2 linked regions of the Rattus norvegicus genome follow. The protein of the gene in region 2 interacts with the protein of the main gene of each other region in a biochemical or structural test. Links are inferred from orthologs where the notes say so. Each region holds a gene or a part of one and is shown on either strand. Other genes may lie near its edges.

What was found.
Region 1: of the proteins of Bmp1 (region 2) and Chrd, one has a biochemical effect on the other in vitro, tested with the Homo sapiens proteins (3 studies listed by BioGRID and IntAct). The link is inferred for Rattus norvegicus from reciprocal best matches to the Homo sapiens genes BMP1 and CHRD.

The regions. Positions count from the first base shown.
Region 1 is NC_086029.1:93,671,300-93,686,706, forward strand, and holds Chrd (chordin precursor), read right to left. Parts: upstream 13,802-15,407; 5' UTR 13,781-13,801; coding exon 13,633-13,780; intron 13,511-13,632; exon of another isoform or gene 13,463-13,510; coding exon of another isoform or gene 13,397-13,462; coding exon 13,293-13,396; intron 12,907-13,292; coding exon 12,777-12,906; intron 12,640-12,776; coding exon 12,511-12,639; intron 12,427-12,510; coding exon 12,327-12,426; intron 12,228-12,326; coding exon 12,140-12,227; intron 11,799-12,139; coding exon 11,657-11,798; intron 11,542-11,656; coding exon 11,413-11,541; intron 11,327-11,412; coding exon 11,244-11,326; intron 11,167-11,243; coding exon 11,019-11,166; intron 10,875-11,018; coding exon 10,768-10,874; intron 10,648-10,767; coding exon 10,528-10,647; coding exon of another isoform or gene 10,469-10,527; intron 10,010-10,468; coding exon 9,853-10,009; exon of another isoform or gene 9,577-9,852; intron 9,567-9,576; coding exon 9,346-9,566; intron 8,548-9,345; coding exon 8,434-8,547; intron 8,197-8,433; coding exon 7,933-8,196; intron 7,846-7,932; coding exon 7,752-7,845; coding exon of another isoform or gene 7,727-7,751; and 14 more. Other genes in the region: Rpl12l2 (large ribosomal subunit protein uL11-like), read left to right, coding at 2,312-2,914. UniProt on the Homo sapiens protein: Dorsalizing factor. Key developmental protein that dorsalizes early vertebrate embryonic tissues by binding to ventralizing TGF-beta family bone morphogenetic proteins (BMPs) and sequestering them in latent complexes.
Region 2 is NC_086033.1:51,968,982-51,983,704, reverse strand, and holds part of Bmp1 (bone morphogenetic protein 1 precursor), read left to right. Parts: intron 1-2,550; coding exon 2,551-2,653; intron 2,654-4,828; coding exon 4,829-4,945; intron 4,946-5,144; coding exon 5,145-5,290; intron 5,291-5,428; coding exon 5,429-5,624; intron 5,625-6,252; coding exon 6,253-6,378; intron 6,379-6,986; coding exon 6,987-7,147; intron 7,148-7,495; coding exon 7,496-7,676; intron 7,677-9,095; coding exon of another isoform or gene 9,096-9,166; exon of another isoform or gene 9,167-9,215; intron 9,216-10,526; coding exon of another isoform or gene 10,527-10,612; exon of another isoform or gene 10,613-10,850; intron 10,851-11,185; coding exon 11,186-11,311; intron 11,312-14,723. UniProt on the Homo sapiens protein: Metalloprotease that plays key roles in regulating the formation of the extracellular matrix (ECM) via processing of various precursor proteins into mature functional enzymes or structural proteins.

The sequences.
Region 1 (15,407 bases), on a different chromosome or scaffold from region 2:
CCCCTCCCCTCAAAGAACAGCCGAGACCCACAGCACCTTGGGCCACCTCTACTGTCCACAGAAGGACAAACAACCATCAGTACTTGTCAGAGGGGAGCTGTGATTCCACTGGTGGTCACTAGTCAACTTGCTAAAAATTGCAAACTGAAAGCCAATTTGCCATGCTCTCTCTGAGACCGTCACATGAAGACTTCTTCCAGCTTCCAGGTTTTGTGCCTGGCCAGGTGTTTGACAGCTTCCTCACAAGTGAGGACCAGAAGGCTGTTAGGACAGGGACTGAGAGAGTGAGGTCAGACAACTAGATGTTTTAACTGAAACGTTAAATAAGCACTGATTTAAAAAAAATAATAGGGGCTGGGGATTTAGCTCAGTGGTAGAGCGCTTACCTAGGAAGCGCAAGGCCCTGGGTTCGGTCCCCAGCTCCGAAAAAAAGAACGAAAAAAAAAAAAATAATAATAATAATAATAATAATGTTTAACTTCAGCAGTAGTAGATGTAGTAGACTACATGTGTGTGCTTATGTGTGTATGTGTGTGTGAGTGCTTATGTGTAAATACCTGTATCTATGTGTGTGTGTGTGTGTGTGTGTGTGTGTGTGTGTGTGTGTATGTGTGCTTGGTGTGTGAACTTGTGTGTGTGAACTTGTATGTGTGCATGTACATGGGCATGTGTACACGCGTGCATGGAAGAGAGCCACAACAAGAAACCAGAGAGCAGGGGCTGGAGAGATGGCTCAGTGGTTAAGAGCCCCGACTGCTCTTCCAGAGGTCCTGAGTTCAAATCCCACCAACCACATGGTGGCTCACAACCATCTGTAAAGAGATCCGATGCCCTCTTCTGGTGTGTCTGAAGACAGCTATAGTGTACTTATAATAAATAAATGAATGAATGAATGAATAAATAAATAAATAAATAAATAAATAAATAAATAAATAAAAGAAACCAGAGAGCAAAGGGGTTGGGGATTTAGCTCAGTGGTAGAGCGCTTGCCTGGCAAGCGCAAGGCCCTGGGTTCGGTCCTCAGCTCCAAAAAAAAAAAGAAAAGAAAAAGAAAAGAAAAGAAAAAAAAGAAACCAGAGGGCAACTTTGTGGAGTCAGTTCTCTCCTTCCGCTGTGTGGGTCCTGGAAATGAAAGTCAGGTCTGCATAGCAAGTGTCTTCACCCACTGAGCCATCTCATTGGCCCCCAAAAACAGCGGTTTTAGTTTTGTTTTTATTTTCTTCCAGACAGCTGGTATTGTGGTTTGGAGTAATACTTCTTTCTTACACATTTGTGTTTATAATTATTTTATAGCTTTTATAAATGTTATTTTATTATAATTATTCACAACGATTTTTAAAGGAGAGGGTGTGAACACCCCCACTACCACAAACTGTACAGTCAAGTTTCTCTCACTGGGGAAGCCCCAGTAGTCAGCACATCCGGAGGGCAAGGGATGAGCTTCACCCCGGGAGAACTACCTTCGTTATCACAGTGATACAGATGCACAGTGAGCTGTTCCAGACAGACCAGAAGAGGGCATCAGACCTCATTACAAATGGTTGTGAGCCACCATGCGGTTTCTGGGAATTGAACTCAGGAGCTCTGGAAGAACAGTCAGTGTTCTTAACCACTGAGCCATCTCCCCAGCCCATAGTGAGCTCTCCTTATGATGAGCAGTAGCAACCTTGGTGCCTACTGTGTAGTGAAAACACCCATGCGTAGGGGCTCCATTCTCAGAGCTCTCTGATCATGCTATAGGTCCTAACAGACCTCCCTTTTGCCACCTGTAACACTGTCTCCAGCAGCCCATTCTTAGTCTGTGTATTCTACGTGCTTCTTCATACAAGGTCTCTTGTGGCCTCAAAGCTATCAGGTTGAAATGCCTTCAAACCCTCAGACAAACACTTCCACTCTGCGATTATGAGATGACTTCTTCTTCTTGCCTCTGTCCTTGTGTCACCTGCTTCTGTGTTCTTGTTCTGCTGTATTCAGACATGGTCATAGTAGCCCAGACTACCCTGAACCCACTGTGCACCAAGACAGCCTCAAGTGCCTGATCCTCCTGCCTCTACCCCCAAGCACTGGGATTACAGACCTGCACCGTACTCCCATGACCGGCTTGCCTTTGTTTTTTTCTACTTTCCATTCTTTTTACAAAAGACTAAGGAGCAAGATGCCATCAGTTACTTCAAAAAGTTTTTAAGACAAACCAACCCATCTTTGGAGTGCAGGCTTTGCTAATGGCTGAGTGCCTGTCTTCAAAGGAGAGCGGTCACCCTGGGCCCCTGGATCCCCATATGTCTACCCCTCCCTCCGTGTTGATCAATCAATGACACTTTCAGACATCCATAACTACAGTTTGAAATGGGCTTTTCGGCTTTCGGTTCGGAGGAGGCAATGGTGCAACTTTCTTCAGTCGTCCCGAATCCAGGTTCATCCGACACCAGCCACCTCCGCCATGCCGCCCAACGAGATCAAAGTCGTGTACTTGAGGTGCACCAGAGACGAGGTCCGCGCCACATCCGCCTTGGCCCCTAAGATCGGTCCTCTGCGTCTGTCTCCCAAAAAAGTTGGTGATGACATCGCCAAGACTACCGGTGACTGGAAAGGCCTCAGGATTACAGTGAAACTGACCATCCAGAACAGACAGGCCCAGATTGAGGTGGTGCCCTCTGCCTCTGCCCTGATCATCAAAGCCCTCAAGGAGCCACCAAGAGACAGGAAGAAGCAGAAAAACATTAAACACAGTGGAAACATCACTTTTGATGAGATTGTCAACATTGCAGGGCAGATGAGACACCAGTCTTTGGCCAGAGAACTTTCTGGAACTATCAAGGAGATCCTGGGTACTGCACAGTCTGTGGGCTGCAATGTGGATGGCCGCCACCCTCATGACATCAACAGCGGTGCGGTGGAGTGCCCAGCTAGTTAAGAAGCAACAAGAAAATATTTAAATAAAAGACTATCTGGGGTTGGGGATTTAGCTCAGCAGTAGAGCGCTTGCTAGGCAAGCGCAAGGCCCTGGGTTCGGTCCCCAGCTCCGAAAAAAAGAAAAAAAAAGACTATCTGATAAAAAAGAAAAAAAGAAAATGGACCTTCTTAGTCACTGCCATAAATGATTCACAGGCAACTTAGCCGCAGCCCCACCATTAACGAAGTCCCAGAACAGTGGCTGTCTGTGGCCTGATGTGCCAAGATCCGGGTTCTGCATATTTAAAAAATGTAAAGTAATAAAGAATGTCACTGGAGTTCAAATAGAACGCGGCAGAGTAGAACTATACATGAGTTTTCTCTTTGAAAAGCAAGGATTATCAAAACCACCTCGTCTATCCAACAGCCTGTGTGCTCCCTGTCTAGTGCTGGAGAATTCGGGAGTCCAGTCAAACCCTTAAGAGTGTGGAAGGCCTTCCTGGCCCTAGCTTAAGGGACCATATGATGTTATACTAATGAGTGTTCAAAGACATTGTGACCCTGCCCAAGAAAATCACCTCTCCGTGGTTTTTGTTGTTTTAGGTTTCTTGTTCTTTTGTTTTGTTTTGTTGTTTGGCTGTTGTTGTTGCTTTTAGTTTTGCTCCCTGTTGCCTCTAGCGGATTAAAGGGGAGTGCATGGGGTGCCCTCTTGAGGTCTCTGGATAAAGGACTTTGAAGAGACCACACACAGGACTGGTTTCATAGGTCATTATCCCACTTCTCCTATTAAGGGAAGAACCTAGGACTGTCTGGCTTCGGCTGAAATGCTGTCTAGGATGGGAAAGGTATTCCAGGGGCTCCTGCCTGGCCCATTCTGTTCACACATTTGCTCTGCTGACACTTAGAGTCTGCTCTAAAGCCCTTCTGGGGCTCTGAAGCTAAAGTCAAGGATGAGCCCTGTCACCAAGCTGCCTAAGGGTCATCCTTACCTAGCTCATAGCTCCCTCCCTGCTAAGGACAGTATGGTGGGTAAAACCTTATCTCCCACCATGGCACACCTCATGCTCTGCCAATGTGGGAACCCATTCTGGCTCCTTTTGCCTTCTCAACCCTATCTGGCCCTCATCCCTGGTTCATCCCTGTCTGCACCTCTTAGTACGACAGTAAAGGCTAGCCCTGACCAGCTATCCCCGTCACTGCCACGAAGTTCACAGCCGAGCTCCTCCACATACATCCTGGCAAATGCAACAAAACCCATTGCCACCCTCATAGCAGCCACGCTCCAGAAATTCCACAGTAAGCAGAGTGCTTTTCCTAATAAACACTGGCCAGGTGCCAGGCTGCGCAGTGAATGGGCCATGGTTGCTTCCTGTGATGCAACCTGTTTTCCACAAAGGAAGCAGGACACATGGGAGTGAGCATCTCGGTGAAGTAACTGCAGAACCACATAGACCTGGAGCCTTAAAAGGCCAAGATGGTGACTGTTGGCTACACTTTCAACAGGAAGGCCTAAAGTGAACAGCAGGCCTCCACACTATCAGATTTATCTGGCATTATTTATAAGTGTGTGTGTGTGTGTGTGTGTGTGTGTGTGTATGTGTGTGTGTGTGTGTGATTTCTAACATATTGCCCTTGTTTCTCTAGAGCCATGGGGCCTGAAGAAATGTCTGGTTCCTGGGAACCAGCAGGGATGAGGGGAGATGGGAAAAGACAAGGGGAGGGGGTCTCCTGCTATTCTGCCCACCATAGCACTTTTTCTCATGATGAGCTTGGTCTTAACTAAATCAGGGCTGATCCCAGTTCAATGTGAATATAGGATTGCCCTTACCTGGTCAACGAACAACGTTTCAGGGAAGAAAATGTGTAACTTGCTTTAGACAAAGAAAAAAAAAATAGAGACTGGGAGCACTTTGGTTTCATTCTGGCATGAACGGACATCGTCAGCAAGAATGCCAGCTACGGGTAACTCAACTTGAGGCTACCAGGGCTCTTGCCGCTCTACCCCCTTTTGTGAACAGTCCCAATCCTCTTTATGGAACCTAGATATGCCGTCCAACTAGCCATCCCATTCCCTAAGCCCCTTCGAGCTCCCAGGTCAGAAAGACTCTGGGGCCCAGGGCTCCTCTCTTATTTAGGTCTGTTAGATCTCACTCTACTGGCGCCCACTCATGGCCCTGGCCACAGAGAGCCTACCTCAAACCCAAAGGCTGAAAAAAAAAAGATGTTTTAATAAATACAAAAATCTCTAATAATGACTCTGCTCAGCTCAGGGGCAGCAGGAATGGTGTGAGGGAACCCTTAGTGCTGAGTGAGGATAAATTAAAGAATCCCAATAAGCCGGTGGTGTTTTGTACAGAAGAAAAGAGTTAAGCTTCTGGGACAGAGGCCAAAAGAAAACAGGGCAGGAGTTCGCGTGGATATGGCCTTGGTCTGACCCAGCAGTCTTTCCCCTTGTAGAATCGTGGTTCCCAGAGGTAGTGGGGGAGGAGAAGAAGCAGAACAGAGGCACGGAAGGCACTGGGTTCCCGCAGGAGAATCAGGGTCCTCAGCACCACTCCTTCTCCCAGTTCAGGCCCATCCTCTTGGTCATGTGCTTCTGGATGCTTCCTAGGAGCGTTGAGCTTCTTTCTCCAGCTCGGGAAGGGTTCTAGTCTCAGAGGCTGGTGAAGACAGAAGGGAGTGAATGTTGAAGGAGATAGGGAACAGGGTGGCCTGGAGGAAGACATGGGGGGATGGGAGGGCAGGCAGAACATCTCTGCTCCAGTCCCAGAAAGGACCAAATTGTCCAAGCAAGGCAGCATACACCACCTGAATTGCCTAATTCCTCTGAGCTTCAGCAGTCCCATTTGTAAAGAAATGACAGTAAGTGAGAAGCCTGAAGAGGTGGGCTGGGGTTGCACTTATGAACCAGACTCATAATTCCTACCTCCATGGGGCAGCCTCCCCTCCCAGGGTCATCCGGCCGACCCACGGCCATCACTGCTTCCTTCACTTACACCTTTGGGCTGTACAGTGGGAACAGCATCGACTCTCCTTCCCTGAGCCGCAGGATAGTGGCGGCGAGCAATCGTCCCGCTCACAGTGGGGTACCCCTGCCTGGTGCAGGATGGAGAGATACTGAGGTTCCTCACAGGACACTGTAGTCCTCAGCCTCTTCAGGAAAAGCCACCTCCAGGACTCTCCCTGAGAAGATTTCCCTACCCTAGGCCAGGCACTGCTGCCCACATCACACAAGTCCCTCACTCACCCCACATCTGCAGGTAATACAGCTCATCTCCCCAAAGGGGGGCACTGATGGGTGCCAGCTCTGATTCTCTGGGAACCACTGCCCAGCAAAGCGACAACCCCGAGGCCCATCAGCCTGCATGGGGTCTCCCAGCTTGGCATGAGTCCCTGACCCTACTGGGGAAAGAAAAGACAAAATTAAACCATAAGGGTCAAATAGCTTTAACTTCGTTTTGGATTCCTGTTGCCTAGTAGTTTCTGGTTCTTGATACGTGATAATGTAGATGGATAGGTGGGGGATGAATGAGTGAATAAATGGATGGATTACAGATGGAGTAGATAAATGACTATGGGTGGATGGATGGATGGATGGATGGATGGATAGATGGATGGATAGATGGACAGCTAGGTTGATAGAACTGGAACCCCAACCACCTCACAGCATAAATGCATGTCCTTCCCACTGTTTTTAAGGCACTAGCTCCGGGTGGACATAAGCAGTGCTCAGTGACTGAGAAGTATCTGAGAAACTCCTTTCAATCCCCATCATGCACTCCTCCCCCAAACACAGGTCAGGGCCTACCCAACCCCAAGAGTGAGGCCTCAATGACCAGGCTCTCACCTGGGCACTGTTTGCAGCAGTCGGTGGGGTTGGCACGGACAGGCTGAGCACAGGCGAGGCGAGGACACTGCACCTTCTCACAGTGCACCTCTCCGGTGGCCCCCTGTAGGCACCCATTAAGAGAGGGTGTCAGGCAAACTTCACACTGCTTTTCCTCTCCTTCCCCCACCTCAAGTCAGATATATGTGTGGGTCAGTGCTCAGAGGCCTGAGTTTGCCCTGTATCTGAATCCAATCCTCATTGTATCATACATAGATTGCCATATTTGCACACACAGGAGGAATGGGGAGCTTGGGGAAAGTTCAGAAGTCATCACCGAAGGCCATGTGAACCCAGTCAGCTGGCACAGCCAACACTTGGACCTGTCAGCTTTTTACCCCCTCCGACAGGAAAGCTGTTCTCAAAAGCCAAGGGACTGCCCCTCGCAATACCATCCTGAGACCTCCTCATCAAGGAAGCCCCAACCTCTATCTGCACACCCGACTGACTGGGTTACTATCCCAGAGAAGATCAGGCAGCCATACCTTGCAGGTGCAGACAGCACACTTAATTAGGCCAAAGGGGGGCACAACGGGGTGCCATCGGGTACCCGCTGCCCTCCAGCTCCGGTCACCATCAAAATAGCAGCCTGGTAGGGAAGAGTCCCCAGCTGCCATTAGGATTGGTCTTACCAACTAGGTCCACACTAGCCTAAGCCAAGAGCCAATAGACACTAAAGATGACTACCAGATACGCTTCGAGTTAGTACACCTCAGCCTCCCCTGTACACAAACTCTGTTGCCCTCTTGCTCCAACCCAATGGCTTCTTTGGATCTTCCCATCCCTGGATACACCACCCTCACTTACCCTCTCCTGGCTCCAGATTTGGTAGGCTGGGAAGGTCTCTACTGCGTTGTTTCTCTGTGAAGGCAAAGAAAGGGTGAGGCAGAGGGTGGTCCCTGCTTCCCTCCCTAGAACACTCCTTTCCCATGGATACCCCTCCTCTACCTTTCCTCCCCTGCAGGACATTCACCTGGACACACGGGACAGCACTGGTCCAGTGCCTGCACCGGGTGGGGACAGCTTGGTGGTGGGCATACTACAGGATCACAGATCACTGTCCGTCTCTGTAGAGAGGGGCCAAGGCTTTGAAGGTATGTCGGGCCCCTTGCCCCAGACCCTGTAGCCAACAGTATGTTACCCAGCCATCCTACCTGGCAGGTGCAGAGGGAGCAGAGTGGGTCATAGTTGGGTGCCCAGCGAGCCCCGTGGGGACGCTGCTGCCCCTCGAAGAAACATGTGTTAGGATCTCGGGGTCTCCCAGAGCTGCCGTGTTTGGCTGGTACGGGGGCTTCAGGGCCGGGCCCAGCAGGCAGCATGGGTGATGTAGCTGCCTCTCCATTTGGAGCCAAGGACATCCGCACTCCTTCTGAGGCCAGGCGCAGGCCTCCCACCTCACACTGACTGGCAATGTGCACCTGGGCAGAGAAGGAAGCTGGGGCTGGCTGGGGTTCTCCTTCCTGTCTCTGTCAACCACTGTTGGCTGTTGACAGAAGTGCCCAGGAGGAGACTCTTCCCTTCCCTTCAGGACTCATCCCAGCTGCAAAGCCGGGGTGGTATGCAGCTGTGTGGCTTCATACTTAATCACTGACAAGAATTGAACACTACCACCTTAGAGATCAGAAAGTACGAGCAGCTGCACCATCCTCACATACCTGCCCGCGTAGCTCTCCTCTAGGGTTACTCTTGGTGGTGATAAGCAGGGAGGCGGTGCCCTGTGTCAGGTGCCGCAGCAGCACGGGCTCTAGATCTTTTACCACACCCTGAGCCTGCAGACAGATCACGCACAGAGCAGAAACAAAGCGCTTTTTACTTACATCATTTTACTTATGTGTGCTAGTATTTTTGCCTGGTGCCGGTAGAGGCCAGAAGAGGGCATTGGATCCCCTACAACTGGAGTTACAGATGGTTATGGGCTACCAAGTGGGTGCTAGGACCTGAAATGGGTCCTCCAGAAGGGCAGCCACATTACTGAGCCACCTCTCCAGCCCCACGGTGCACTTTGGGACTAAGCCCCTGGTCTCCAATTTTCAGGTAAAGAAACAGACCCAAGTGATTAAGGCCTTTTCTCAAGGGAGAATAGCCTTGAGGCTAGGTCTCTCTGACTACCAGTCTAGAGCAGCACTAAAGAGTGCTGTGGTCCATCCTACCTACTTCTTTTTTTGTTTTTTAAAGATTTATTTATTCATTATATACAAGTACACAGTAGCTATCTTCAAACACACCAGAAGAGGGCATTAGATCTCATTGCAGATGGTTGTGAGCCACCATGTGTTTGCTGGGATTTGAACTCAGGACCTCTGGAAGAGCAATCAGTGCTCTTAACCACTGAGCCATCTCTCCAGCCCCTACCTACTCCTCAATGGCTTGGGACCTCTATCCTGAGAATCGTTTAGGACAGAGGACACAAGAGAAAATGCATAGTAAAGGCTGAGTCAGATTTACACCTAGGCCTGTCGGACACCCATGGCCATGCCTGTCCTCTCTGCCACAACCACAGCCCACACAGCCCTCCAAGCTAAAACAGCAGAAATTTTCCAAGCTTCCTCCTCTCTCCATGCTCTTACCTCTGAGCCATAGAATCCCTTCAGCAGTCGCTGGGGCCCTGGCATCCCAGGAGGCCCGAGGAGATGAGCAGTGACAGTTCCTTGCTCTGAGCCACCAAGCCCAGCCAATAGAACCTCATAGTGTAAGTGGCAATGTGTATCCAAGGACAGCCAGGCATGTCCTGCTGCCTGACTCCGCACAGGGGGCAGTACTAGTGCCCCTGCCAGAGGCACAGGCAATCCTAAGTCCAAACAGATGCAAGATGACACATGAGATTGTGCTCTTAATCCCATTCTACCCTACCACAGACCTAGGGCCTGGGGAGCAGCAAGTCTTAGATTCCTTGCACAAGGACAACAGGGAGGGTTGGGCAACAGCATCAGCCTATGCATCCCCACCTCTCTAAATGCCAACCAGAGATCAGACAGAGCAGGACACAGGAGGCTCTGGTTCTCTGGCTAATTCTTTAGATGCTCGGATGGAAGTTCAGAGGACGCAGAAAGGCAGGTAGACCGTGAGGCACTCACTGTCGTAGTGGGCACTGTGCCCGCTGTAGCATAGGGCAGTCACGTGCCCCCGAAGCTCTCCGTCTGGGAAGTCCTTGGTACCAATATTCAGGAACAACTCATTCTGTAGCAGCATGTGAGCCCCTCGGGCACCCAGCCCAGAGCAGACACCCACAGCCTAGGAGTCAGAAAAGGATGACCCCTCTCACTTTCAGGTCCAAGGGCTTTCCATGTTTTATGCCTGCACTGCACATGTATCCTTCCTCAACACTGGACAAGAACTTTGCAGGTCGAGTGTCAAGGCCCTCCTGTGCCACATCCTAGACACACCACAACCCTTGAAGAGTTACTCGTCTGCGAGCCTTCGCTTCGCATCTATCAAAGGGTACTGCGAAAGTCACGGTACATAAAGAAGCCAACCACATTCATGCCTGACAGAAAGACACCAAAGGCACGGTTAGTACTATCGCACAGGCTATCTCGCTGTTCCCAGGAGTGGCGCTCCCTATTTAACTGTTAGCTTGCCGAGAACAAGGGTTCCAGCCTAAGGCTTACTAAAACGTGTCAAATGAACAAAGGACTCGCCGAGAGAACCAACGAGCGGGTGAACAGTACTACACACCTCTGCTCAACCAACCTGGCTTCCCGCAGCCCATGTTTTGGCAGCCCTGGCACAACTCTGCCTGGAGCCCTCACCATGTGTCCTCCCAGCTGGAGTCCAGCCATGTGGCACAGGACAGTGCGCTGGTTCTTCCGCTGAGGCTTGGTCTCCAGCGTCATGGCCACCACCTCGCTACCTGTACCTATCACTTGTACCTGGTGGGCAAGGTTGGGGGAGGGCAATTGGATTGACAGCCAAGACCTAGGGCCTTTCCCCCTGCAGGTCAAGGCCCTGCCCTGCTGGCCTCCCTGTCCCCTACAGCTGCTGACTTTTACCTGATAGATAAGGGAGCCATTTCCTAGCAGTATGAAGCTGGCTGAGCCAGCAGCACCCGTCTGGACTGGGATCAAGGCATCAGCCCCACAGAGGACGCTTTGAAGGACTGCAGGGGACAAGACAGGTGGCAACAGGTTTGCCCACACCCAGGTCCCCAAGAACTCTCTCGTATCTATTTGGCCTCTTCTTTAGCACATGTTCGTGCCTCTGAGTTACTTGTACCACAGTGCCAGGCCCCGCCCTTCCTCACCATCACAGCTCTGCCTGGTCGTGATATACCCGCTGATGCGTAGCTCTGGCCCACCCATCTTCTCTAGGACCATCTGCAGCTCCCCCAGCACCAACCAGTCCATCTCTTGGTCTGTAAGGCTGGGCAGCACCTCAGCAAAACCTGGCTCCTGTGAGCAGAGCAGAATGTGGTGGGCAACAGCAAGAGGTCAGAGGAAGTAGCAACGAGATGCAGGCCTTCCCTTACCTGAGCTGAGGCATTGGCCTGGAGCTCTCGAAGTAGCTGTCCCTGGTGGAGAATCTGAAGCTTCAAGGGGACGTGAGCTAGTCCTGCAAGTGCCGCTTGTGTGAGCATTTCTGAGAGGTGAGCACCCTCCCTAACACCCTCATGTACGTACATCTTCCCCATTACTCACCTCCCAGCAGACCCCGGAAGAGCAGCAAAAAATGTAAGGCATCTTCTGTGTCACTGAGAGTGAGCAGGGCTATGCCCCCGACACCCCGCTGCAGTGGGTCCTCCAGGGTCAGGATGGCACTGAAGGTCTCTGGGGAGTGGAGGACCATGACAGCCATGAGAAATCCTCTCTTCAGTCCACCGACCCCTGGGCTATTGAAGGTGCAGCTCTTGACATCTAAGAACTGCTCACTCCCCCCCCCTACCTGCAGTGAGAGCACCCTGCCAAATGAGAGGCCCCCAGACTTCTTCTGAAGGGTGAGTGGGTGTCACAAGGGCAACACGCAGCTGCTCTGCCCTCAGGAGCCTCACAGACAGCCGAGGCACTGCCCGCCACACCCCACAGACCTAGAGAGAAGAGGGAAGAAAGTCTACCGTAAGTATGCAGAACAAGCCAGCTAAAAGACCCAGGCCTAATGAGGAAGGAGTATGGAAGGGGGACCCCAGACCCTCTAAGAAGGACCCAGGAGCCTTAATGTTAAGTCCTGGCTTACCACTTACTAGCCAATGACCTTGAACAAATCACATTCTGCTATTCTGAGCCTCAGTTCCCTCCTCTGTAAAATGGGCATCATAATGTCAGGGCCTTTCTCCCACTGGGCTGTTGTGAGAACCAAAGGAGGCAATGCAAAGCATGCTCTCGGCAAGTGCCCGTTTTGGATAAGCACTCTTAAATGGCATCATCTCACCAGGCCATCTTGGGTGGGGGCAGCAGGGTGTTCAAACAGGATGTTGCCTGTGGGGTCTGTGAACCGAACCCTGCTGGGACGGTCCAGCCTGTGAAGAGAGGTCCAGTGAGACTGGATCTATAACCTACAGGCTCCTCTTTCTTGCCCCCTTTACAACTCCTGGTCTTTCCCCTTTCCCTTGTCTCACCGCTGGTAGGAGATAGAGAAGCGTAAACTTGAGCGCAGCAAAGAGACTCGAGCACGAGCTACCGCCTGCGTCCTCGGTCCAGTCAGCAACGCCACAAAGTCTTCGAGAAGAAAAGATTGTCCTGAGCACTGTCAGCCTTGCTGGGAACTCAAATTTCATCAGGCCCACCTCCGTCCCAGCCTACCCGTGTGGCCATCACCACGTGTCCGCTCCCCAGTGCCGGGTTCCCCTCGATCGCTATAACTGCGATGCTCTGGGTCCCTTGGATACTCGAAGACCAGGCCAGCCGGCTGTGGATCTAGATTGCTGCGCTCTGCATCCGGGATAAGGAATGAGACCACCGGCTTCAGCAAGGTACAAGGAGGACCACTCCTCCTCCGCGATCCAAGCGGCACAGGACCTAGTGTTAGAGCCTTCCACCCTCCCTAACTCGGGGCACAGCGGCCTCACCCTGCGGGCAGGTCTGGCAGCAGTGTCCTGGCAGCTGGCGCGGCTGCCTGCAGGCCAGGGTGGGGCACTGAGGTTTGATGTTCTTGCAGCTGACCCTGCCAGGGCCCCTCCCACGGCGAGCCCACTGAGGCTGATGGCAGAGAACATAGGAAAATTAAGAGAATGCAACCATCAGACCCCAGGGTTAGACACTCTGCTGGAGTCGGTCGACTCTGCTATTTACAAGTTACATGGCCCTGGACAAGTTTCTTAACTCCTCTAGCGTTGGCGTCCCTGTCTGCAAAGTAGAGCTAATAATGCCATTTATCTAGCAAAGCTGTAACGGGAGGGGGAAAGTTGGCTAAAAGCCAGTCACATTGTGGGCGATCAATAACTGTCAACACCGCAGACTTGAAAGGGGTTTCCTCTGATTTGCGAACCAGCCTTCCCCAGAGCATCTCTGAGTCTACTACGGCATAGGACGCCAGCGTTCCGCTACCCTCTAGGGTAGGACGAGCAGCTGCGATATCCACTCACCGCTTCGCAGGCGCACAGCACACAGCGCATCACCCCAAAAGGCTCCCCCAGGTCCGGGTGCCACGTCTCGTCCAAGGCATAGACCTTCCCGCCGAAGGAGCAGCCTGCGGGGACGGGCTTGGCTGGCGGCCGCTGTCCGGTTGCTCCTGCCGTAATGCCTACTCCGGGCTCTGCCCACCAGGCCCTTGGTCCCCTGGCACCGCGCACCTCGCCGCCTCTGCTTTCCCCACCCACCCTCCCGCTGCGCGAAGCCACCTGCGCCCGGGGCCCTCTCCCTGTGGATGTAGACTTGCCCGAGCCAGACTCTCCCCTCCCGCGTCTCCCCCTGGCGCCCACCTACCTGCCGCTCCCCGGACAGGCAGTGGCTCCTTCTCGGAACGGATGGGCAGTGCGGGGGCCTCAGGGCCAGTGCCACCGGCCGGCCGCGAGCCGAGCAGCAGCAGCCCGAGGAGCAGCCGAGGGGCCGGCGGGGCCGGGAGGCTCGGCATGACGCGGAGCAGACAGCTGGGGAGGCGGGCGGGAGGAGGGAGCAGGAGAGGGAGTAGGGCCGGACCGGAGGCGGGCCGGCAAGAGGGGGCCGGGGCCAGGAGGGGGGCAGTGGCGAGGGGCTCGTCTCGCAGTCGCCTAGTCCGCTCCCGGCCGGGCGGGGCGGGAGAGAGCGGGCGGAGGGGCGCTGACCCGGGCCGTACGCCACTCTAGTGCCCTAGGCGCCGGCTCTGGCCCGTTTTATGCCCGCGCCAGGCGTCCCGGCCCGGGGCCTCCTCTTCAGCAAACGGGGCGCGGCGGCGGCTCCACAAGGAGCCCGGCTGAGCCCGGGGGGTCCGGCCCAGCAGCAGCGGCCGGATCGCGAGTGGGGGAGGGGGACAGGCTGGGACCCGGCAGGGGAGGAGGGAGGGACTGGAGGAGGGGGGAGCGGAGTGAGTAGGGGGAAGGGAGGAACCAGGGGGCGCAAAGAGGGGGAGGAGAGGCGGGCCTCGACACCCCCACACACACTCCTTGCGGCCACCCCTGGAGGTGGTGTCCATCCCAAGACCAGAGCCTCGGGCTAGTGAAGGGTAGAGGCTGAGCCTCGGGCCTGTACCAGTGGTGAGCCGGATGGGCCGCTGTAGGATGAGGGCTCGTCTTTGAAAAGGATACCGATCCTCCCCTACCTAGGACCCACAGCACCTCCTTCCTTTCACTCTGGCTGTATTCCTATTTCCCTTCTGAGGTCTCTCCTCTTCCTTCAGTTCCCAGGGTCAGGAACCTAGCTTGCGCTTCCCAGAATCAAGCAGTGCTTCCCCACGAGTGGACTCGTATTCCACCACCACCCCAACCTGTCCCCAAGTCCATCCAACTGTATCATCTATCACCTCTGACTGGTGGTTTTCCTTCATCTGAGGGAGGACCTTATTCCTCTCCAGGTCATTCCCCACCTCCTTCGTCCTGCTTTTCTAGACAAGCCTCCCCATCCTCTCCTACCCCCACCACTTCCCGCTATCCCAGCATCAGGCTTCCTAATCTTAGGAGGTATCTCTTATTCAACTGGAGAATTCTGGGATCTGGGCCATACTCCTTAATAGACAGTCCATCCTCAGAGGAGGCACGGGAGAAAGCCTGAGGAAGAACAAGGGAGAGAGGGCAGGGTCAGGCCCCAGGGTCCCAGAGGACAGACTGTGGGGAGACAGGGACTGAGGAGAAAGCACAGGAGCTAGAGCCAGGGCCAAAGGAAGAGAGAGAGGAGCCAGCAAAGAGGTATTTGTGGGGGAGGCTCGGCAGCTGTCTTTCCTAAGACAGGAACAGATGGGCCTGGTTATTTCTCTCATCACATGTATAATGGTAGGACTGGAAGGGGACCATTGAGCAATCAACGGCAGGCTTGCCCACAGAGCTGAGCTCTCCAGGTCCCTGTACCTCCAGGAGAAAGAAGGGTACCTAAGCCCAGTCAATCTATTTGTCTGTCTCTCATTTTGAAACAGGTTCTCATTATGTAGCCCTGGCTGGCCTGTAGCTCACTAGGTAGGCCAGGCTAGCCTCAAACTTCCTGAGATCCACCTGCCTCTGCCTCCCAAGTGCTGAGATTAAAGAGGTGCTCTGGGCTCAGTCTTAACCAAACGCATATCCCTTCACTCCCCA
Region 2 (14,723 bases):
GTGCCAGGGGCCCAGTGGTACAGTCATGCACACAATCAGGTGTGGCTGTCCATACAGACAGAAGTCAGATCTGGGTGTGACCAGCTTGTAGTTTTTAGGTGAGAACAGTTAAGTTGGAAGAGGAGTGTGAGTCTGGAGTTCACACCATGGATGTTGAGTGTGAGGAGATGCCGGTGCAGGCCAGCAATCGTGCCTCACTTTGAAGGCTGCCGTACCAGCCCTTGGCTGCTTCCCTCTGTGGGAGCATTTGGTCATTTCCCTAAAATGGATAATGGGTTGGATGGAGGGGTTTATACTTTCAAAACAGAGCCAGATGGACAGATCTCTGTAAGCCTTGTCTACATAGGGAGTTCCAGGCCAGCTGGAGGCGGGAACTGAGGGGCTGAAGGGATGGGATATGCAATTCGTGACATTGTGACTCCATGAAAAGAGCTAGAATGGATTTGCAGCTTCACTTTTTGAAAACCCTGATGCTAGTAATAATAGCAATAACTTTCCATAATAATGACTAATAATTTAACACACATACAATTCTCTTCAAATATACAGTCCCATTCCGATACATTTGAAGTTACTACAGTTGATAAACTTACACGAATAGAGTGGAAAGAAGAGCAGGGACTGTGGACTAAGGAGTGGGCAGGGGGAGGGGCGATGGAAACGTCTTGATGGTCACAGTGAGAACTGCTGGTGGGATGAGCTTGGAAAGAGGTTTTGCAGAGATGGGAGCAGGGTCCTAGGAGTGGAGGGTGTGGAAGGGGCACAGGCTCATTAATGAGCCTAGGGCATGGTGTGTTGGGATGTTGTCCAGAGGGACACAGAGAATAGGACAGATGTCATGGAACTGAGAGGCTGGAAAAAAAAGGATTGGGAAGGTAAAACCACTCAGTAGGGCTAGCAAGATGACTTTACACTAAGTGTGTCAACTTGAGTTTGATACTCAGAACCCACATGATGGATCAAGAGAACTGACTCCTGAGAGCTGTCCTCTGACCTCCGTGTGTGTAGAGGTCAAAGGACATATGCACACTAAAGACATGAAAAGCCAATAAACATCCAAACCCAGCACTGACAGCGCTAGTTCAGAAAGTGTCCAGGAACCAGTCCTGTTGACAGTGATATGGACGTTGGGTACTAGTGCCTGACTTGGAATCTGCCTTATTCTATCCTCTGCTCTCAGCATCTAGCTTTTCACTGAAGCTAAGGGGAGGTGTGGCCCTGTCCCTTGTTTAGCAGGAAAGCCCACTAGCTGAGTGTCCAACCACACACACCTCACAGGTCACAACAAACCTGACCCTGGAACCTTGCGGGGACTCTGATGGCACAGAGGACTTGGGGATTTCTCTGGATATTTCCAAGCAAGTACTTTCCCTTATAGGGAAAGCCTCTGCCTTTTAAAAATTCATTGTCTTGGGGGCTGGAGAGATAGCTCAGCAGTTAAGAGATTCACAGGACCTGCATGGGTTGGCTCACAACCACCTGTGATTCTACCTTGAGGGACTTGTGCCTTCGTCTGGCCTCTGCAGGCAGCTTACAAACATGTGATGCATGCATATGTACTGAGACACACACAGATACACATAAACTAAAGTTAGTTTTTATATATTATCTCTCTGTGTAGTCCTGCCTGTCCCAGAACTCAATATGTAGACCAGGCTGACCTCATACTCACAGAGATCCTCCTGCCTCTGCCTCTCCAGTTCTGGGAGTAAAGACATGTGCTACCATGCCCATCTCTAAAGTAAAATCTTTTTTAAAAAGTTCTTGGCCTTGGTTATGGAGCCTTGAGACTTACCGAAGGGCTGTGGGCATTGTCAGGTTGATAATGTGATTCTTTCTGTCTCCAGGGAATACCGTGGGGTCAGAGGCTATCACATGAGCTGGCTGACACTGAAGTTGTGTGGCTGACCCTAGGATTTAGAGGAAATACAGGGCTGATTCAAAGCCAGGCCCTTGGGCTGGGGTTTACATTTTTTTCTGTACAGTCTTCATACTTATGTAATCTCATTCACATGCTTCATAAGGACAGATATGTATGTTAAACCCATTTCCCCAGAGGGACTGTGACCTGACATTAGTTCCCTGTAGACACCATGCTCCTTCTGGGAATCAGAGCCCAATGAGTTTGTATGATTGGTGTCTCAACTTCTGTTCTGGCCTTTCCTTCCCATCTCAGACCCGCCCCCCCCACTCCACACACCCTCACACCATTCTGGGCCCTTCCTGGCCCTGCCCTCTTCCTAAGGACATCACTATTTATATTGACTGTGAGGAAGCAAGACTGGTTATTTAAGTCAGCACAGTAGCCCTCTACTCAGGTGGGGAGTGCAAGGCAGTGGAAGCCCTGAGCCCTTGTGGATGTTTGGTAGTGGGAATAGTGGACAGGTGTTTTTAGTTAGTCTGGTGAGGGCCATGTGGGAACAATGCTGGCCATGGCTGGTGATGGTTAACTTTCCCACCAGCTAGGCAGTGGGCATGTGCCTGACCCCAGGGGCAGGAAGAGTGGGAGCCATGTAACCTTCTCTCCTCACCCCTCATTTCTTCCCCTAGATTATTCTGAACTTCACATCTATGGACCTGTACCGTAGCCGCCTGTGCTGGTATGACTATGTGGAGGTGCGGGATGGCTTCTGGAGAAAGGCGCCCCTCCGAGGTAAAGGGCATTGGCTCCTGAGCTCCCTCAGTCCCCTGGTTCTTTGTTGGAACATGCTGGGACCCAATACTCTAGGTGGGGTGACATCCTGATATGAGACCTACAAGCTCTGATATAGTTTGTCCCAGTAGTCCCAACACTAGCTAGTGCTGTGACAGTGGGCGAGTCCTGTGTGTGACACACTCAGGTCTTAGTGCCAGCTCTGGGGCTACCCTCCAGAGCTGTTCTTTCACTATGAGGATTTGGGAGTCAAAGGAGTATACAAACGTGCCTGGCAGGCTGCTCTTCGCATCCCGTAGTTCCAGGCTCACACCCTCACTGGGCTTTCCTTGATCTATAAGGTCTAATTTTGGGGTGTCCATGATATGGCCTGGCTTTTAACCTGCTATAGACCCTTTTTAACCCTTAACTCACCTTAATAACTATAGGCCTGGAACATTGGCCTGGCACTGTTTGTACATGGCATTTGTCACTAATTGTGTGTGTGTTTGCACGTCTGTGTACATGTGCGTGCATACACACATATGAAGTGAGTGGGATAAAGATCGCTCAAAGCCACGGGACAATGCAAGGCAGAGTAGTGTTGTACTTCTAATTCTGGGGAGGCCAAAGGTAGAAGGATCCTGAGCTAGAGGATAGCCTGGGCTATATAGCAAGGTCCTATCTTAACCACAACACAATCTAAAGCACCATTGGATATAGAGGCAGGTCAGTGGACACAGAATTAGAGCAAAGGGGACATCTGCATCAAGCTTGAGGTGTTGTGCGACATTGTTCATTGTGTTGTCTGTAGCCGGAAGTGATTCGGGCTGCCTACCCCCTCAGCACCTTTGTCCCTCATCTGGGGGAAGCAGCCACATGCTTTCGGTTGATTACTCCCCACTTCTGCTTCTGACATTCTAGTGGACCTGTTAGTCACCCAGAGCGACTGGCATTGAATCTCCTCTGCAATGTGTTAGGTCTCTGAGATTACGATTTCGTTCTCATAACTGACATCCCTAGGCCAGCACCCACCTTCTGTCCCTTGCTTGAAATATGAGAGAACACTCTGTCTTTCAGGAGCACACAAGTCATCCCCAATCAACTCTTGACTGCAAAGAATTTTACAGATGGCCAGCCTCAACCTTTGTGTTGATTCTTAATGAGTTTTACTTGAGCAGAATTGCTTTCTGGCCCTGTCCTCAGATTCTGGAGTTTGGGGTTCCAAAAAGCATTCCCTGAATTTGACCCAGTGTTGGCATGCTCGGAAGAGCAGGCTATGACATTATATGTAGAGAAAACTGTCTATTTGTTGGTATCAGGTATTTGTTGGTATCAGGAATTGCTTTCACACTATTTCTCTCTTGTTGCTTCTTTACATGGAGATCTCATATAGATCAGTAGTGATAGTAGCTTCACTTTAGAAAGGTCAGGAATGCTGGGCAGTGGTGGCAAATGCCTTTAATCCCAGCACTCAGGAGTAAGGCAGGTCTCCATGAGTTCGAGACCAGCCTGGACTACAGACTGAGTTCCAAGACAGCCAGGGCTACACATAGAAACTCTGTCTTGAAAAACCAAAACAAACAAACAAAAAAACAAAAAATAGGTCAATAAAACTTTAATCCAGGACTTTGGAGGCTGAGACCAAAAGTTCAAGGCTAGGGTCTGGACAGTAGCTCATCTGGTAGAGTACCTGCCAAACATGCACAAAGTCATGCTTCAGTTCACTCACTTGGGCCTATAATCTCAGCACTGGGGAGGCTGAGGCCTTGAACTTTTGATTCAAGGCTAGCCTGGCCTAAATAGTGAGACCTCGTTCAATTCCCAGCAACCACATGGTGGCTCACAATCATCTGTGACGGGATCCGATGCCCTCTTCTGGTGAGTCTGGAGACAGCCACAGTGTACTCACATACATAAGATAAATACACAATTAAAAAAAAAAAAAAAAAAAAAAGACAAACAACAAGGGTTTCCAAAACACAAACCCCTCAAAATATCAACGATGAAAAGCAAGTCAGTAAAACACCCATGTTCTGCAGCTCCTGCCCTGTCTCAAGGGGTTTCTGGTTCTTGTGGTGATCATAAGAATAGGCACAGTAGGGGCTGCAGACTGGAGCACCGAGCCTCCCAGAAAGTTGGGGCTTACATGAGGAGACCTGGGACTCAAGCGTCATCTGTCTTCATTGTCTGCAGGCCGGTTCTGTGGGGGGAAACTCCCCGAGCCCATTGTCTCCACCGACAGCCGCCTCTGGGTGGAATTCCGAAGCAGCAGCAATTGGGTTGGAAAGGGCTTCTTTGCTGTCTACGAAGGTACTGAGGGAGAGGAAGGGGGCCCTGGGACATTCCAGAACCACTCCCTCCTGTTGGTTCTCCAGCAGGGTTAGCGGGTGGGAAACGGGGATGGGGTATGCTGGAAGAGTGGGGAAGGGGCACTTAGGCAGGGCCTGGCCTGCTGACCACCATTATCCCGTGCTCCATCTCACTACCACCCCATCCTGGGTTCCCATAGCCATTTGCGGTGGTGACGTGAAAAAGGATAACGGTCACATCCAGTCACCCAATTACCCCGACGATTACCGGCCCAGCAAAGTCTGCATCTGGCGGATCCAGGTGTCTGAGGGTTTCCACGTGGGCCTCACGTTCCAGTCCTTTGAGGTAGCCTGGCACAGACCCTTCGAATCCACCCTACAATGCTTATGTTGGTTTCCAGGACAGTCTGCTTTCCTGAAGGCTCTGGGGATGGGGATCCTGGAAAGCAGAACTCCTTTCCCTGATAGAGCCCCTGCCTCCTAGATCGAGCGTCACGACAGTTGTGCCTACGACTACCTGGAGGTCCGAGATGGGCACAGTGAGAGCAGCAACCTCATTGGGCGATATTGTGGGTATGAGAAGCCTGATGACATCAAAAGCACATCTAGTCGGCTCTGGCTCAAGTTCGTCTCCGATGGGTCCATTAACAAAGCTGGCTTTGCAGTCAACTTTTTCAAAGGTACTTCCTCTCCTGTCCCACATTCTCCTTCTGTGGATGCTCAGTGCCTTGTCTCGTTATTCTTCATTCATTCCATGTGAAGACTCCATGACAGAGATGCAGGTACATGGATACTGTTAAAACACTGTGGATAAATACTACCAAAGGTCAAAGTTCATCCCCGTGAGGAGTGGGACTTGTGGAGGGAATGATCAAGACAGAGGGAGGATGTTTTTAAACTTATGTGGTCTAGGACACACTATTTCCCCAAGCCACAATTCTTCACCTATACAGTGGGTATAACAGCTGCCCCATACTTGGTGTCATGAAGTGAATAAAGGAGAAACGAGAGGGTGGTACTTTGGCGGGACTAGTACATAGGAGGTGTTGGTAGCTGCCAGTTAGCCTGAAAGCTCAGAAGAAGGTTCTGTAGAATTTCCTTGTGGGTTCTCAGCAGCCACGGGAATATGGGAATACAGGAATAAGGGCTAAACAGGCAAGTGAGGCTTTTAGTTCACTCCTCCCTGCAACATGGGGAGAGAGGTCATAGGAACCCTGAACCTCTGGGCTTGAACCTCAAGCTCAGTGCAGGAGGAAGGAGCAAAGTCCAGCCTGTGGTTGGTGACACCCCTTTCTTTCTTTCTCACAGAGGTAGATGAGTGTTCAAGGCCCAACCGCGGGGGCTGTGAGCAGCGGTGCCTAAACACCCTGGGCAGCTACAAGTGCAGCTGTGACCCCGGCTATGAGCTGGCCCCAGACAAGCGTCGGTGTGAAGGTGAGTGTCCCACTATCCCAGGACTATTGGGCTCTTTCCTGTGTCCTCAGTCAATCATATCGGGACAGGCTGGAAAAGTTCTCTAGTGCCATTCCCAGTCACGAAGGAGAAAGGTGTCCTATATGTCAGCCCCCAGAACATTGTCAGAGTGTGATACACACTGGCATTAGGGGCATTTACTCTGACTCCTTTGTTAATACTGATCTTAATCTGGTGATTGATGTCACCATCTTCCAAAGGGTCATGATCCACCGTTCAGATGCCACTGTTTGCAGAGAGTCTAAGCCTGTATGCTATGCTAGTGTATGCTTCAGGATAGCAGTTCCAGATCAGGCTGGTCTTACTGCCTTTGACCAATGCCTCTGGCTGCCTCCCAGGACTGCCCATTTATACATTCACCAGGCCCCTCTGTGTCCCCTCCCAGCAGATTCCTGGCCCATCTTCCAGAAGAGGTAGTAGAAATGACCATGTATGCAGCCCCTTTTGATCTTAGAATCTGGGCTCCCAGGCCTCCGACTTGTGGGCCCATAGACTCCCATCTCCCCCTGACTGCTGCTCAGCCTCACGTCCCTTTCTGGTGGATGATGCTACCTCGCTTGTCCCTCCAGCTGCCTGCGGTGGATTCCTCACCAAGCTCAATGGCTCCATCACCAGCCCCGGTTGGCCCAAAGAGTACCCTCCCAACAAAAACTGCATCTGGCAGTTGGTGGCCCCCACCCAGTACCGTATCTCCCTGCAATTTGACTTCTTCGAGACTGAGGGCAATGATGTAAGTGCCTCTGAAGCCAAGGTGGGTAGGAAGGTGTGGGGTGTAGGAGCTTGGCTCAGTGCCTGCCTTCCACCATTGGGAGAATTAGATACTAGGCTCGGAGAACAGAGACTTTCCAGTACATGGAAGCTTGGAGGGTGTGCAGGGCCATGAAGGAGCTTCTGCAGATGAGGATGGGCATTGGTTGGAAGCCTGTGGAATGAGGAAGGGCTTGGGGCCAGCTGCCCTGGGGCTCTGTGATGCAGTTTTGTTGGGAGAACAGACGCTGAGCCTGACAGTTTCCCAGTGAGTGAGTAGTCATGAGAGAGGCTTCCTGGAGGCAGCATCCAGAGCTGGGCTCTCTGGCAGGTGTGCAAGTATGATTTCGTGGAGGTGCGCAGCGGACTCACAGCCGACTCTAAACTACATGGCAAGTTCTGTGGCTCCGAGAAACCAGAGGTCATCACTTCCCAGTACAACAACATGCGTGTGGAGTTCAAGTCTGACAATACTGTGTCCAAAAAGGGCTTCAAGGCCCACTTCTTCTCAGGTAACCCTGGGTCCCTTGCTCTAGCCCTGCCTCCGACAGATGGAGCCCTCTTGCCTTCCCTGGTCTCCTAAGCCCCCTATCTCCCCAACTTATTATCCTCCATCAGTACAGCCCCTGGGGCACCTGAATATCTTTATTGGGAAGCCCTGAAAACCTTAGTTATGCTGGGCCTAGGGAGGGGCAGAGCATTTAAGGGCAGAAATGAGGAGGCTGGCAAGCCAAGGCCTGAAAGGGGAGGCCCTAGGACAGGGGTTCAGTTGCCTGAGAACACGGAATGGAGTAGAAGGAGGTGTCGTGGACTGTGTGGGGTAGTCCATCTTGCAGCAGCTGCAATTCTAATCAGGCCCCGCCCACCCAGCCCACTGGGTTCATGCCAGGCCTTCCCACAAGAGAAGTCCTCTCTGCCCTTTAGTAACAAAACTACCCGTTCCCCTGCCCGTGGAAGGCCTGGCTTCATCCACCCTTAAGCTTTATTTGGCCCTTTTGCAGCCCCTCTCTGTGTGGTCCAAACCCAGCCGTCCCAAGCTGGACCTCTGGGGTCCTGGGAGACCTCTCCCCTGTTCTAGGAATCCCTAAGTCTTTGGCCCTCAGGTCAGTGTGAGGAAAGGAGCAAAAGGGCCCAGACCCAGCAGTGAATGGTAGGAACACTCTACGGTGGGGTGTGGACAGAACAGGAAGCCAGTGGGCAGGCTGGAGGAGCAGGTGGCTTGTGGAAGGGTGGGTTAGGGACCTTCAGCCTGACTTTTCCTGGTGGGGTGGACATAGGGTGGGCAGGCCCAGGAAGCCCATGACTTCATCCACGCTGCCTCCCTTCTCCCCTCCTTACCCAGGGTCCCGCATCCTTCAGCCCCCTATGTGGCTGCCCTGCACCCTTGCCTGTCCCACCTGGATGCCATGCACCTGTCCCCGTGCACTGGTTCCCTGCTTGGCACTGCCAGCTCTCCTGCTCTGCTTAACATGCTCTGTTGAGCTATTGCCCCCAGTCCCCTGCCCCATTGCTTGCTGAGACCTTCTCCATGTAACACCAAGCCTGCCCATCCTTTCCTAGGCCCACTTAGACAAAAAAAAAAATGCTTTCCAGAGGGCTGAGGGCATAGAATATCTGCCAGGCTGGGCTTCTCATAGAAACCATTACCTGCTTACTCTTGTCTGTCTCTGCCCTTCTGCTACTCCAGTCTTGGAGAGGATGTGGGGGTACCCATGTTTGTTTGGAGTCACTGCCCTGTCTCCCCACCCTTTACATAGCACTCAACACTGTACGAGATATGTACACGCATGTACACGTGCTCACACCATATGTATACACACATGCATGCATATATATGCATTGCCCCTTGCACAAGAAACCTGCAGAGGACCCTCATCAATGGGCATCAGAGTTCAGCCTCAGGGCCTGGGGCATGTGACTCTGACCCCCAGGAGGGGGCTGTGTGGACTTTTGGGACACCCATCGAGGAGACCCTAAGACAAGAAGGAGAAGCAGAGCCTGAAGACCTTCAGTCTGACCCCAGCACCTCCGGGGCATTTGGGCACTGTAGGGTGAGTGCCATCTCCTTGTTGGGGTCTGTGCCACCTCCCTTGCCCTGATCCCCTGCAATGTCTTCTTCAGTCACAGAATGGACCGTCCACATTTCCGGGTGTGCCAGAGTCCCCTCCTAGATGTGCAGGCAGCCATTCACAGAACTGACATCCCCACACATTACTTCAGTCTTTCACGTACCCATCCACTCATTGGCTTAACAGTTTTCTTTTACCCCACCTGTGTCCCAAGCACTGGACTAGGTATTTGGGGAGCATATATGAAGAAGGCATGAGGGTCCAAATATGCTTGGGAAGCCATGGCTTACTTTGTGAGCTGAGCTCCCTGGACTTCTATCAGAGTCCCAGGAGAGGCACCCCACACACCTCAGGGTATGTCTCACAGACAGGCATAATGTTAACTCCCATGGTCAGGCTCTGATAGCCAGAGAAAGAAGTTTTGGGAAGGGAATTGACAACTCTACCTCTTAGACACACGCTCCTGTGGACTCTTGATGGGTCTAGCCCACCTGAGCATGAGAAATAGGGCCTTCTAGGAGTCAGTGCTGCAGTCCCCAGGCTCCAGTCCTTAGGCTAGATTAGGAACAGTGTCCACTTCCCACAAACCTGCGTGGACAGTGGAATGCCTGCAGCCGTCTTTCCACTTTGTGGCTCATCTCTGGAATTCTGGGTGTAATTGGGATCTACACACTTGTCCTGAGTGCCTGCTTCTGTGCCAGGCAATGGACTTAGAACAATGGTGTGGCACACAAGCCTGTAACTGTGTGCTTGTGTATGTGCTTGTGTGTGTGTGTGTGTGTGTGTGTGTGTGTGATGCCTGACCTGTGTACATGTCTATCGGTGTTTCAACGTTTGTACAACAGTTCTTTTATGCACAGGGCTGTGTTTATGGTTGTGTTCCTGGGTGTGTATGTCTGTGTCTCACAAACTCTGTAGGCAGCTGTCTGAAGGAGGGTGAGCAGAGCTTTTACATAGCCCTTCCCACCACTCCCCTCTCCCAGCGACTCTGAGCTTCTCTTCCCCCATGTGCACTCCTCGGAAGTGTGCCATCCCTCCAGCCCTTCTCCTTGCCACAGGCTCAGTCTTGTTCCTTGTTGCTGTGCCTCCTGCTAACCCAGCTGTAGTGACATGGCCGTCCTGCATGTGGGTCTGCCTGCCCCTCCGCCCCACTCTTCTCTGTCCACCTGTCTGGAGACCCTGGGTCTAGTTTTTATTGATTGCCCTCCCTGGTTCCTGCCCTCCCTCCACCCCCTTCATCCCCTCCACCCCCACTCCTTTGTCCCTTTTCTCCTTCTCTCTCTCTCATTTCAGAAAAGAGGCCAGCTCTGCAGCCCCCTCGGGGACGCCCCCATCAGCTCAAATTCCGAGTGCAGAAAAGAAACCGGACCCCCCAATGAGGCCTGCCAGGCCCCCAGACCCTTCATTACTCAGGAAGCTCACCTCGGACGGAGTGGGCTGGGGGCTTTGGAGCCCCACCTACTCCCTGCCTCCACTCTGCCATTCCGGCCGCCTCCTTAGGCTGGACAGAACTGGTGCTCTCCTCTCCCCCCGCCCCCTCCCATTTTGATGGTGTCTGTGACATTTCCTGTTGTGAAGTAAAAGAGGGACCCCTGCGTCCTGCTCCTTTCTCTTGCAGTCTGCTTGTCCCTGTGTCTGTTTTTCCACTTGTCCGTCTGTCCAGTAAGCAGGTAATGGTAGAGGTCCCCATGCTGGTCAGCTCCAGACCCCAGCCCTCCCTCCACCCACTTCTGCCCACCTCTAACTTCTCTGCCCAGAAAGGAGGCCCACCCAGTTGGCCCCACTGGTGCAGTGACCAGAGCGCCATCATCACCCTGACCTTCCACTCTGTACCCAGTCCCCCTGCGAGAGCACTCCCTCCCACAGGAGGAATCCCCGCCAGGCCTCCCATGTCCCCTGGGGTGAGCAGACCTCAGCCCACATAGACCCATTGCTCTTGTTTGTGTCTACAGACAAGGATGAATGTTCCAAGGACAATGGTGGCTGCCAGCAAGACTGCGTGAACACATTTGGCAGCTACGAGTGTCAGTGTCGCAGCGGCTTTGTCCTTCACGACAACAAACATGACTGTAAGGAAGGTAAGACCTGCATAGAGGGCGAGGAGGATGGAGAGGGTGACCACAGCTGGCCAGGCGCCTCACAGTGTCCAGAGATGACCCCCATGCAGATGTCTCCATCCGGAGCGAAGGAACCTGGTACCTCCTGTGTGGCGCTCCGACCACCCTTCACTGTGGTACCCAGGTCACATGCACAGGTGCTCTCCCCTTGTCCACATCAGGAGAAGAGTCCACAGGTGCTGAAGGTCCTTTTCTATGCTCTTAAAGCCTGAGTCTAGGCTGGGTGTGGAGCAAGCCTTTAATCCTAGCACTCGGGTAGATGGATCTCTGTAAGTTCGAGGCCAACCTGGTCTACAGAGTCAGTCCCAGGATACCTAGGGCTATACAGAGAAACCCTATCTTGAAATCCTCTCCCGCCAAACAAAAAACAAAAAGCAAAACAAAAATCCCTGAATCCAAGATTTTCTGTTTGTTATGGTCATAATTTAGCAGCTGAGAATACTGATTCTGAAGCTAGGTGGCCTGGCCTGGATCTGTCACTTGGGTAATGTGTGCCCTCGAGTGGCCGGCTTATTCACCGTGTAGCTGTGGAAGATGGAGGTAGGTCAGAAGTTTTGGAGCAGTTCCAGTCACACAGCTAAGTGTATGGCCGTCGCGCTGGGACTCCAAGCAGGGCTGCCACTCTCAGTCCTGAATATACATGATAGGCACTCAACCTGGCTATTCAAATCCAGAATGTCCTAAAAATCTGAAGCTGTTTGAACTGTCTGTATCATGATGCTGCAAGTAGGAAATTCTACCCCTGACCTTATGTGATTGGTTGTAATCAAATCACAGGCGCACTAAAAATACTATGGAAAATACCTTCAGGGACTGGCAAGATGGCTCAGCCTGAGTTCATCCCTACAAACCTGCATAAATGTGGAAGCCAACTCTACAGAGCTGTCCTCTGGCTTCCACATGATGATGATGATGATGATGATGATGATTTTTTTTTTAAGGATTCTTTTATTTTTAATTAGGGGAGGGGGCATGTGTGTGCACATGAGTGCAGTTACCAGTGGAGGCCAGAAGAGGGCATTGGATTCTCCTGAGGCTGGGACCGTGATGTGGGTCCTGGGAGCTGAACTTTGACCCTCTGAAAGAGCAGTATGTGTTCTAAACCACTGAGCCATCTCTTCAGCCCCAAGTTTTACAATTTAAGAAATGGTCTTTGGGCCATGTTTGTAGGGTATATATGAAGCGTGATTGAATTTAGTTGCGGTTGAGTTCCATCCTTATAGCTGATTACCTACTCTTCTCTCGTACAAACGCTCCTGGTCCCAAGCATTTTGTGTAAGGTATACTCAGACTGTTAAAAGGCATCTACCCTCACAACACACAAAGCACCCAGTGCCTCTTCGGACAGGATACAACAGTGTTCTGACTCCTAAATTCTGTGCCCTGTACCGGCTTGAGCAAGTGCAATCCCAACAGCCTAACACTGCCTCTACCACTGAACGTGTGGCTTGAGGGTGAGTCATTTAACCCCTTGGAGCTTGTTCCTTCATTCATTGCACGATAAACAGTAAGACCCTGCCCTTCCAAGGGCGGAACTGTATTGCTATCATTATTCTGCTCAGAGATAGTCCCTAACAAATGGCTCTTAGCTGTCATTGAGTGAACAGCCCAGGTGAAAATAAAGATGCTTCTGAGCAGAGTTCAGAGGACGGAAGCACCCCCTGGAGAAGCTGTGTGACGTTGAGAGCTTCCACCGGGCGCCGAGGGTGCCTGGGTACTGAACTTCTGACTCCCTGAGCACCTGCTGCCCTCAGCTAGCTGAACCCAGTCCTCTGCTTTTCCAAACCACATTCTCCAACAGTTTAGATAGAAAGGGATGGAGCTTGCTCCTCAGTTCACCTTCTGGCACACCTAGAAACACTCCCAATTCCTCCCTTGGAGGTGGGCTAATGCCAGATCAGGCCTCATGCTTGGCTCCCATGGAGAAATTGATTCTGCTGAAGGTTCTTTTGGGGAATGTGCGCAGAAATGGCACCCAGCCTGAGAAGAGATATAAGCATATATGGGAAGCAGAGCAGGAATGCTGGCGTGGAGGTAGGGTGGGCAGAGGGGCCACCAGAAGCTGCAGGTGAGTGATGGGGACAGCTCCCACACAACAACAAAGAGGCAGGTTCTACACACACACACACACACACACACACACACAGAGAGAGAGAGAGAGAAAGAGAGAGAGAGAGAGAGAGAGAAAGAGAAAGAGAAAGAGAAAGAGAGAGAGTGTGTGTTGAGGACTCAAGAGTTAGATGAACCTTGACCCTGGCTGGTCTCAGTGTGTAGCCTGTGTCTACCTGTCTCTTTTCCCTTGACAGCTCCACCACGCAGTAACTGGTTGCCTTCTGTATTAGCAACCTTTTATCACCCAAAAAACTATCTGAAGAAAACAACGTAAAGAGGGGAACTTGTATCTTGGTTCGGGAAGGGTTTGGTCCATAGTTCTTAGGTTCCATCACTTTGGACTTCAGGCAAAGCCAAAATCATGGCAGGTAGTTCATGCTGGAGCAAGGAGCAAAGCTGCTTAACTTATGGTGACCCAGAAGGGTGTGGGGGAGCAGAGAGACAGAAAGAGGCAGCAGTGACCAGGACCAAGGTATGGACCATTCAAGAACACATCCTTAGAGGGGCATTCTTCCTCCAGGCCTTCTACATGACTTCTGTATAACTCAACAGTCTGTTCAGTTATAAACCCTCCAGTGGAGTAAGCCGTTGATGAGATCAGATACCTCATGATCCAGTGACAGTACAAGAGGCATATTGCTGCCCTGGGGACAAAAATCTTTATCTCTTGAGTGTATAGGGGACATTTTAGATCTAAATCACACACTGGTCTTTTGCTTTGTTTTGGGATGGGGTCTCACACCATAGTCTAGGCTAGCCTTCACCTGACTTTGCAGCCAGCAGTAGCATCAGCTTTTTTTTTTTTTTTTCCGGAGCTGGGGACCGAACCCAGGGCCTTGCGCTTCCTAGGCAAGCGCTCTAACACTGAGCTAAATCCCCAACCAGCATCAGCTTTTAAATGTGCATTTGGGAGGCCATGTTTTGTGTGAAATTCGAGTTGCTATAAATAGAGGAGGTGTAGGTGATGATGGTGTGGTGGTGACCAGATACCTGGGAGACCAGCTGGGAAAAAGGAGCAAGAGACATGGGAGACTGACTTCAGGAGCTCACGGGCTCCAGAACTGGGAGAAGGTGGTCCTCTTTGTGTGTTTCCTGGCTACTGGCAGCAATGAACCCCAGCTTCCAAAAGGGCGGTCCATTTCCACAGGGAGGCATTACATTTTCTCAGAGGCACCAGGAAGGAGAGTCAAGAAGAGCTCCTATCTGAGGGCCTCGTTTCTTCAAGCATCAGGAGGGTGACTGGTCTGCTGCTGGGAGGGAC